2 linked regions of the Callithrix jacchus genome follow. The protein of the gene in region 1 interacts with the protein of each later gene in a pairwise test. Links are inferred from orthologs where the notes say so. Each region holds a gene or a part of one and is shown in the gene's direction. Other genes may lie near its edges.

Region 1 (3,819 bases):
TTGAGTAAATCATCTGCAGACTTAGTCCTCTGAAATTTTCAATAATTGAAATGCAAAAAAATGGTTATTTCTGTTGACAGTAGGTTTGTATCAAGCAAATAGAGATGGGCCAAAAAAAAAAAAATGAGCTCCATCTGAGATAGTAAGATACCTTTATTCTCATACATTACCTGTGTTTTCATTACCAAAGTAGCTCGTGTTTTATATTATGAAATAGACCTTCTCGTAACAGTATCAAATGTTTTGCAGATAAGGAAATGCAGGTTTAAGTGACATATTGTTTTGTTTTTTTAACTTGGCAGTATTTGACTACAGTCATTCCTTATGAGAAAAAAAATGGACCGCCATCTGTTGAAGATCTTCAAATATTAACAAAAAGTGAGCAAAGACAAAATGAAACTATTACCTGATTTACTTTTGCTGATTGGTAAACACCTGACTTTAGCTGGCTGGTTTTGTTGTTAGTTTTTTGTCAATTTAGGATTGTAAATGATGCATATCATTGTTGATTTCTGTAAGAATGAAGCCAAAAATGGCTACTACTACTACTGGAGGTACAACAGTACCTCTAGTGTTGATTTGTATTTTTTCTGTTTTTCTTACCTTATGAAATATTTATGAGCTAAAATTTTGGGAAAAAGCATTATCTGAATCCTCATCCTCTCTTATATGCTTGAGAACATATCCATTTATCATAAATGTAATTCTCTATGGATCTTATATGACTGTCAATAACTGAATAGGAAAGATTTAGGGTAAACACTTATTTCTTATGAATGTAGAACCTGAGGTAGTAGTTGTAGGTAGAATACAAATTGACAGTAATGTTTTCAGAACATGCAACAGGGCGCCGTGGCTCAGGCCTGTAATTCCCAGCACTTTGGGAGGCTGAGGTGGGCAGATCGAGAGGTCGGGTTGGAGACCAGCCTGGCCAACATAGTGAAACCCCATCTCTACTAAAAATACAAAAATCAGCTGGGCATGGTGGCAGGTGTCTGTAGTCCCAGCAAATATTAGGTAAAGGCCTACTTTTTACCAGGCCATGATCTGGGAACTTGGGATACTTTAGTGAACAAAGCTGACAGACAATCCACCTACAAGGGGCTTGCAGTAAAAAAACAATTGTGAGATTTAAATATACGTTATATTGAATTTCTCTTATGATAGCCGTAAATGAGCCCTGAATTCTGAATTTTCGTTCTATCCCTGTTATTTTCAGGGATGTCCTTGGAAGTTATTTATTCTCTTTTGCTCACATTGAAAAACTAGGATAAAAAGTATTTGTTCTATTTACCTCACACTAAGTAGATTAATATGTACATGATTTGGGCTAAGTTACTATCAATTAGCCTCATTGTCATTGCTGTTAATATGGAGGGATTGAATTGCTGATCTTTTGAAAAAGCATCACATGGATGAGTGTTGATGATATTTATTTTGGAAATCCAAGGAACTTGGAGCTTTTATTCTTTCCTTTGGTGAATAATACGTTAAAAAGTTTTATATTTAAATATGGATAAATCAAGTAATGCCAGCCAGTCTGAAATAAAGAATCAAGAGATTAACTGGGTAGCCAGCCCTCTTATTTTCAGGAAGAACTCATGAAGTTATGTGCGTCCAAGATCCCACAGGGGATGGGTAATTACAGAGCTGGGTCTCCTAATTCCCAGGAAACTATACTTTTAATGATGCTGGTTTTTAGTATGTGGTTTTTATATAGAAGTTAGAAAAAATTTTAAACATGATTGGAAGCAGAAATACTGAACATGGTAGCCCTTTAAAGAAGGGAACATAAATAAATATTGCTCATAAGCCAGGAATTACTGGCAAGCCTCAGCTTCTCAGATCAAGAACAAATACTTTGTTGGTCAAACTAATGCCATCATAATTCCAACATCAAGTTGTCTTTGTAGGTTGACACAATTTGGAATCTTTGGACATATTTGGGTCCAAAGCTCCTTTTCTTTCCAAAAGAAGAGCCTTGTGGAGACAGTCACATTGTTTATGGATATATAGTCTTCCTCTTAAAAGCTGTTAGGGATTCTGGGTGCAATAATAATAGTAATAAAATTTTTAACAATATTAGTAGTGTTAGTTACAGTTAACACTTACATAGCATGTACTCTGGCCAGGCACTATAATACATGTGCCAGACCTTTATATCTGAATTAGTAGCTTAGTCCTCAGAACAAACCTTTGAGATTAAATGCAATTATTATTCTCATTTCACAGATGAAGAGCTTATGCAAAAGTGGTTAAGCAGCTTTTTCAGTGTCACACAGTGAGGAAGAGGCAGAGCCAGGTTTTAAACTTAGGAAGGCTGACTTGACAGTTATGTTATATTGCCTTGTCATATGGGTGGGGAGAAACAGTGAAATATTTCTACCAGGATGCTCTGGAGAAAATTTGAGTTGGCTGGCTGGGTGCAATGGCTCACACCTGTAATCCCAGCACTTTGGGAGGCCGAGGTGGGTGGATCACCTGAGGTCGGGAGTTCGAGACCAACCTGACCAACATGGAGGAAACCCCCATCTCTACTAAAAATACAAAATTATCTGGGGGTGGTGGCTCATGCCTATAATCCCAGCTACTCAGGAGGCTGGGACAGGAGAATCACTTGAACCCAGGAGCAGGAGGTTGTGGTAAGCTGAGATCATGCCATTGCATTCCAGCCTGGGTGACAAGAGTCAAACTCCATCTCAAAAAAAAAAAAAAAAAAAAAAAAATTTTGAGTTGACAATCTTTGTTAAAGTACAATATTTGTGAGTTTATCTCAACCTGAATGGTCTAGCTTAAAAAAGAAAAACATTATACTAGGTGGCTGTTTTTTCTCTTTTAGTTTTTACTTAGAAGATAAAAGTGTCCGTTTAGGATAAGGCTAATTCACCCAGGTTCCTCCATACTGCAGAGGAGGAGATAGCCAGGCAGATGCCACGTGCTGCTTCATGGAAGTCTGTTCTTCATTTGGGTCTTTTCTTTGAAAGTTTCCAAGGAGTTTGACAGATATGCCTGTTGGAGCATATAGCTAACTGTTCATTTCTCTAAGAGTTTCTCTAGCTTGCTTGTTTTATAGCAATGAGGTCCTCTTGTTGCACGGAGTTCATTGAGGTGCACATTACAGTAACCCACTTTCCAGTATTATTACAGAGCGAAGGCTCCATGTAAATAACCTGATTCCTCTTTTTTTGCCTCCACTGTTTGGAAATTTTAAATCAGGGAAATAACTCTCAGGTAAGTAGATATTCTTACCTAAAATAAATTCTTGTGAACATATTCCACTAAAATAAATGGTTGGGACTTTACTGTTGTATTCCCTTATCAGGAAAATCACCTATAATTAGTATAAGTCAGTTATATCCTATAATTAAGGAAGATTAAGGCCACAATGATTGAAATTAAATAATATTTTTGATCTGAATTTTTTGTTGTCTTTTTTCCCCCCCTTCTGTTTTGCAGTTCTTCGTGCCATGAAGGAGGACAGTGAAAAGGTTCCGAGCTTGTTAACTGATTATATTCTGAAAGGTGAATTTTACAATGGTATAGGTGTGATGGCTGGGAAGTTTGGATTAGTCAATAAATGCATTGTCTTGCTAATAGATTAGATAGTAACTTCCCAATGCACAACTTTCATTAATCTTATTATGCAGGATGAGGATTAGATACATGACTAACTTCTACCAACATGATATATTATGGTTTTAAAAAATTTAACTTTTGTTGGAGGTTCTGGGCTGGAAATAATCTCCACAGCTAAACTATAAACATTGAGGGAGGCAGTAGAAGAAAATTAGTGAGATGTTGCCATCATCATGTGGATAT
Region 2 (4,315 bases), on another chromosome or scaffold:
TATTCAACCTTAAACAGGAAGTTCTGCAACATGCTATAACATGGATGAACCCCGAGGACATTATGCTAAATGAAATAAGCCAGTCACAAAAGGGCAAATTCTGTATCATTCCACTTATGTGAAGCACCTAGAGTAGTCAAACTGATAAACAGAAAGTAAGATGATTACTGCCAGGAGTGAGGGGAGTAGGAAATGGAGGGTTGTTGTTTAATAGAGACAGAGTTTTAGTTTGGCAAGATGAAAAGAGAGATTGGTTCTGGAGACTGGTTGAACAACAGTGTGGAATGTATCTGATACTACTGATGTTAAAAATGGTTAAGATGGGAAATTTTATTCTATGTATATTTCACTACAATTAAAACTATTTAAAAATACTGTTCTAGCAAAAACAAAGTTTTTTAAAATAGTTTCTCTTGATCTTTGGTATCCTGCAATGTCACCATTGCATAGATTTCTTTGTATTAATTCTGCTCAAGAATAAGTACTTTTTGAACCTGAAAATTCAAATACTCCACAATCTTGGAAAATTCTTAATGATTATTCTTTGAATACTGACTGCGTCCATTCTCTCTAGTCTCTTTTTTTGGCATTTCTATTAGATTTATGTTGAATTTTTTTCATTTATTTAGCTCCTACATTGCATTCTAGTAAATTTCCTCAAATTGAATATTGTAGTCCCAGCCAAATGTAGTTCTCAAAACACTGAATGGAAGATCTTTTTATAGAGCTCTTAAAATGATTAAGGCAATGTGTCAGCAAACGGTGCCAGAAGTAAAAAGTCAAGAAACAGGGAGACATAAGGCTTGTCTCTACAGCTCAGGAGACTGTGCCAAAGCCAAAATAACAATGTATTGCTGTGATGCCTACCTTGTACTCAATGAATATTAAAGTAGGATGCCGCTTTGTGTCAAGTGCTAGATTACGATGAGTGGTGTCACAAAGATCACTCTACACTCAGAGTTTGGCACTTCATACCATATGTTTTACCTTGAGCAAGACATGTATCTACAATCAGGCTTCAGTTCCTTTCTGTGGGTTGCTGCTGGCTCCAACAGGTAAGGTGAGCAGACGTGCTATGCCTAAGTATCAATAGGGTATTTTCTCAATTCTAAAATATTAAATGGTCACGCACTACAGATTTAATAATAGTTTGGGAGGAGGGGAGTGAGGAAAGAAACATTCCACTAGCGCTACTTTATAAGCTTTCCGATTTTGGAAATAAGAAAAATATGAAAAAGTCTGCTCTTAGAATTGAGGAACCACGGTGTCGCACTGACTTTCTCTGTTCGGTTCGCAAACAATCTTTTCTTGAACTTGAATGACTTCTCGGTCGCTCATGCCAACCTGTTTCCTGACTTCTCCATTCTGAGATTCACACTTCAATTCTCAGGCTTCCTGTGAGACCTAAGGAGCCCCTTCACTAGGGCGGCTTCGCTTCGCTTCTGTACTGTCATTGGCTGTTGCTCTTCCAGGGCCCCTCCCACAGCCACCTCAATCCTGATTGGATGTCAGTGTCCTTTTGTTATGGCGAAGGTGGATCCCGGAGCTTTGAGATTGGACTACTGGGGGGGCGGTGGCGGCTAATGCGCAGGCGTATATTTTCGAGTCAGGATTGGCGGGTGAGGGGCCGGGATGAGGCGGGACTCTTCTCTCGGCGCACGTTCTGTGACCGGAGTGGGCGGAGCTGCCGGTGTCAGTTGGTCCAAGTGTCCCCGCCCGAGGTGTCGGCTGCATCCCTCTCTCTCCCGGCCCCTCCAGCAGAAGGTGAGGACTGTCCTGGGCAGCGGAGGGCCTGGCCCCAGGCGACTAGAACTGCGGCCTCGGTACCGCTGAGGGCCTGGAGGGCGGGGTGGGTAGGACGCGGCCCTGCGCACCTGGGGCCCACGAGGAGCGGTCTCGGGCCTGGGCATTTGGTGGGCGGCGGAGGCCTGGCTTCCTGCAGAACCCTTGCGCATCCTCTTTTTCTCCTGTTTTCGTGGTCAGGCCCAGGCGTTCTTTAGGAGAGGGGCCTCCCGCTGTCCCTGACGCAGACATTCTGCTGCTTTCTCCCCGCAGCTCCCGCGTCGGGAGCCGCTTTGCAGCCTCCAGCTCTGGAATGGGACTGCGGGAGGGGCGTTTGGGTGGGATGGGACCTGGCACGCCTGGACGTAGCAGTGGCTGCTCTGCTAGAGCCTGAGAGATGGGAGAGGACAACGAGGTGGAGAGGGAGCCTCGTGAGTCATAGAATAAGGATTTGAACATCTTTCCAGGCTGCGAGAGCGGCACCTGGGTTTGTTTCTTCATCGACTTCTGCCCAGAGTCCCACTGAACAAGTTTTGGAAAGGTTTGGGCTTAAAGGCAGGGCTTCTGTTATATAATGTATCAACCTCAGACTATTGCGCAGCAATAAGGATGGATGCCATTCCAGGTGTTCCTAGCACGCTGTCTGTACCCAAGGACCCAAAGCTATGTCCATGTATTCTGGTACCTGTATCCCTCACCGATTAAAGTCAGCGTAGCTAGCTATTCCCTGAGAATATCTATTCCGTTTAAATCTTCATTTGGCCAAACAATTCCTTGATCTTTTGGAATTTGAAACGGAATTTAACCAGAACAAGTCAAAGCAGAACTTGAACGGATCTGAACAGACAAACTGAAGGGAATGGAATTTATCTTCAGTTGCTTAGTAAAGAGTCCAAAGGAGTTTGACATCAGTGGTTGCAAAATGTTTGGCAAACTTAAGATTAGGGCCATATTGAAGTTTCTTCCATTGCAGAATGGAAAAAGCATGGATTGTGAAGTTAGACCTGGGTTCAAATTCGTGGTAGAGACGTTGGCTGTGAAACCTCTGAAATGATAGCCTTTCTGAATGATACTTAGCCTTTCTGAAATTTAGTGTCCGTATCTGTAAATTGCAATTTCCTTCTGTTTATTTGATGAAGTAACATATGCAAAGCTTTTAGCACATTAAAGCACGAAGACATTATTTTAGCAGTCTTACTAGTTCTCTGGTATGACAGATGGTGAAATCAATTTTAGATGCAGAAAAGTTGAGTGGCTGAAGGTGGACGGATATTAGGAAAAAGTCTCAAAATCTCAAGTCTCTGATGTGACAGTAGCTGTGGTGGAATGGTGTAAAAACCCTTGGGCATTTGTCGTAGTCTTGGCCCTATTGCTAACTACTTCTGTGGTCTTCAGTAAGCCGTTGGCATCTTTGGCCGTGATTTATTTGTAAAATGAAGCAGCTGGACCAGATGGTTTTCTTAAAATTCTTTTTGTGACCCAAATTAGAGCTAAAAGGTAGAGAAGATAATAGTAGGGGCCGGGCGCGGTGGCTCACGCCTGTAATCCCAGCACTTTGGGAGGTCGAGATGGGTGGATCACGAGGTCAAGTGATCGAGACCATCCTGGTCAACATGGTGAAACCCCGTCTCTACTAAAAATACAAAAAATTAGCTGGGCATGGTGGCGCGCGCCTGTAATCCCAGCTACTCGGGAGGCTGAGGCAGGAGAATTGCCTGAACCCAGGAGGCGGAGGTTGCGGTGAGCCGAGATCCCGCCATTGTACTCCAGCCTGGGTGACAAGAGCGAAACTCCGTCTCAAAAAAAAAAAAAAAAAAAAAAAAGAAGATAATAGTAGGCATTTATTGCATACCTATTATGTACTGTTGCAAACACATTGTATCTATCAACTCAGTCTCACAACAAACCCGTAAGACATGTACGGTTATTATCCACATTTTACAAATGAGGAAACTAAGGCCAAGGTGTTAACCTTGCCTAAGGTTCCAGAGCTTATAAATTGCAGAGCTAGGATTTGAATCCAGGTACTGAGTCCATGTTGTTAATCATTGTGCCAAGCTGCCTCTTGAGGAGAATGGTATTGTGGATATTGTATACTATTAGAGGTACTATAAAAGAAGATGGGGCATGTTTTGTAAGATAATTGCTTTGGTTACAAATGTGTGTATGGCAAAATTATTTAATTAAGTGGATCTTGTCCTAATGCTTGCCACATTTCCTTGTTTGTATTCTCTCAATACTGTCTGTCTCTTGGACTTAGCAAAAAAATAATTCTAGATTCCCTTCTACTAACCAAGGCTAGATACCCAAATTTACTGTGGTTTTTGCGAAACCTTTAAAAGGTCTGACCTAGACATAAATCAGAGCTGAAGAATCTCAGTGAACCATATCTGTTTCTGGGCTAAGGTGGTTTAGGATAGGCAGAGCAGCCTCAGAACCCCAAATTCATTTCAGTGTTCCCACACTTGAGCAGACTTGGTCTGAATTTTCTCGTTTTTCATCAGATTTGCATTTATATGTAGGAGCAGAAGGA

What was found.
Region 2: the proteins of FEZ2 (region 1) and SCOC interact in binary tests that used the Homo sapiens proteins (3 or more experiments, as listed by UniProt). The link is inferred for Callithrix jacchus from reciprocal best matches to the Homo sapiens genes FEZ2 and SCOC.

Annotation. Positions count from the first base shown.
Region 1 is NC_133515.1:78,448,273-78,452,091, forward strand, and holds part of FEZ2 (fasciculation and elongation protein zeta-2), read left to right. Parts: intron 1-302; coding exon 303-378; intron 379-3,456; coding exon 3,457-3,522; intron 3,523-3,819. UniProt on the Homo sapiens protein: Involved in axonal outgrowth and fasciculation.
Region 2 is NC_133504.1:56,574,536-56,578,850, reverse strand, and holds the start of SCOC (short coiled-coil protein), read left to right. Parts: upstream 1-1,499; 5' UTR 1,500-1,505; coding exon 1,506-1,764; exon of another isoform or gene 1,765-1,823; intron 1,824-4,315. UniProt on the Homo sapiens protein: Positive regulator of amino acid starvation-induced autophagy.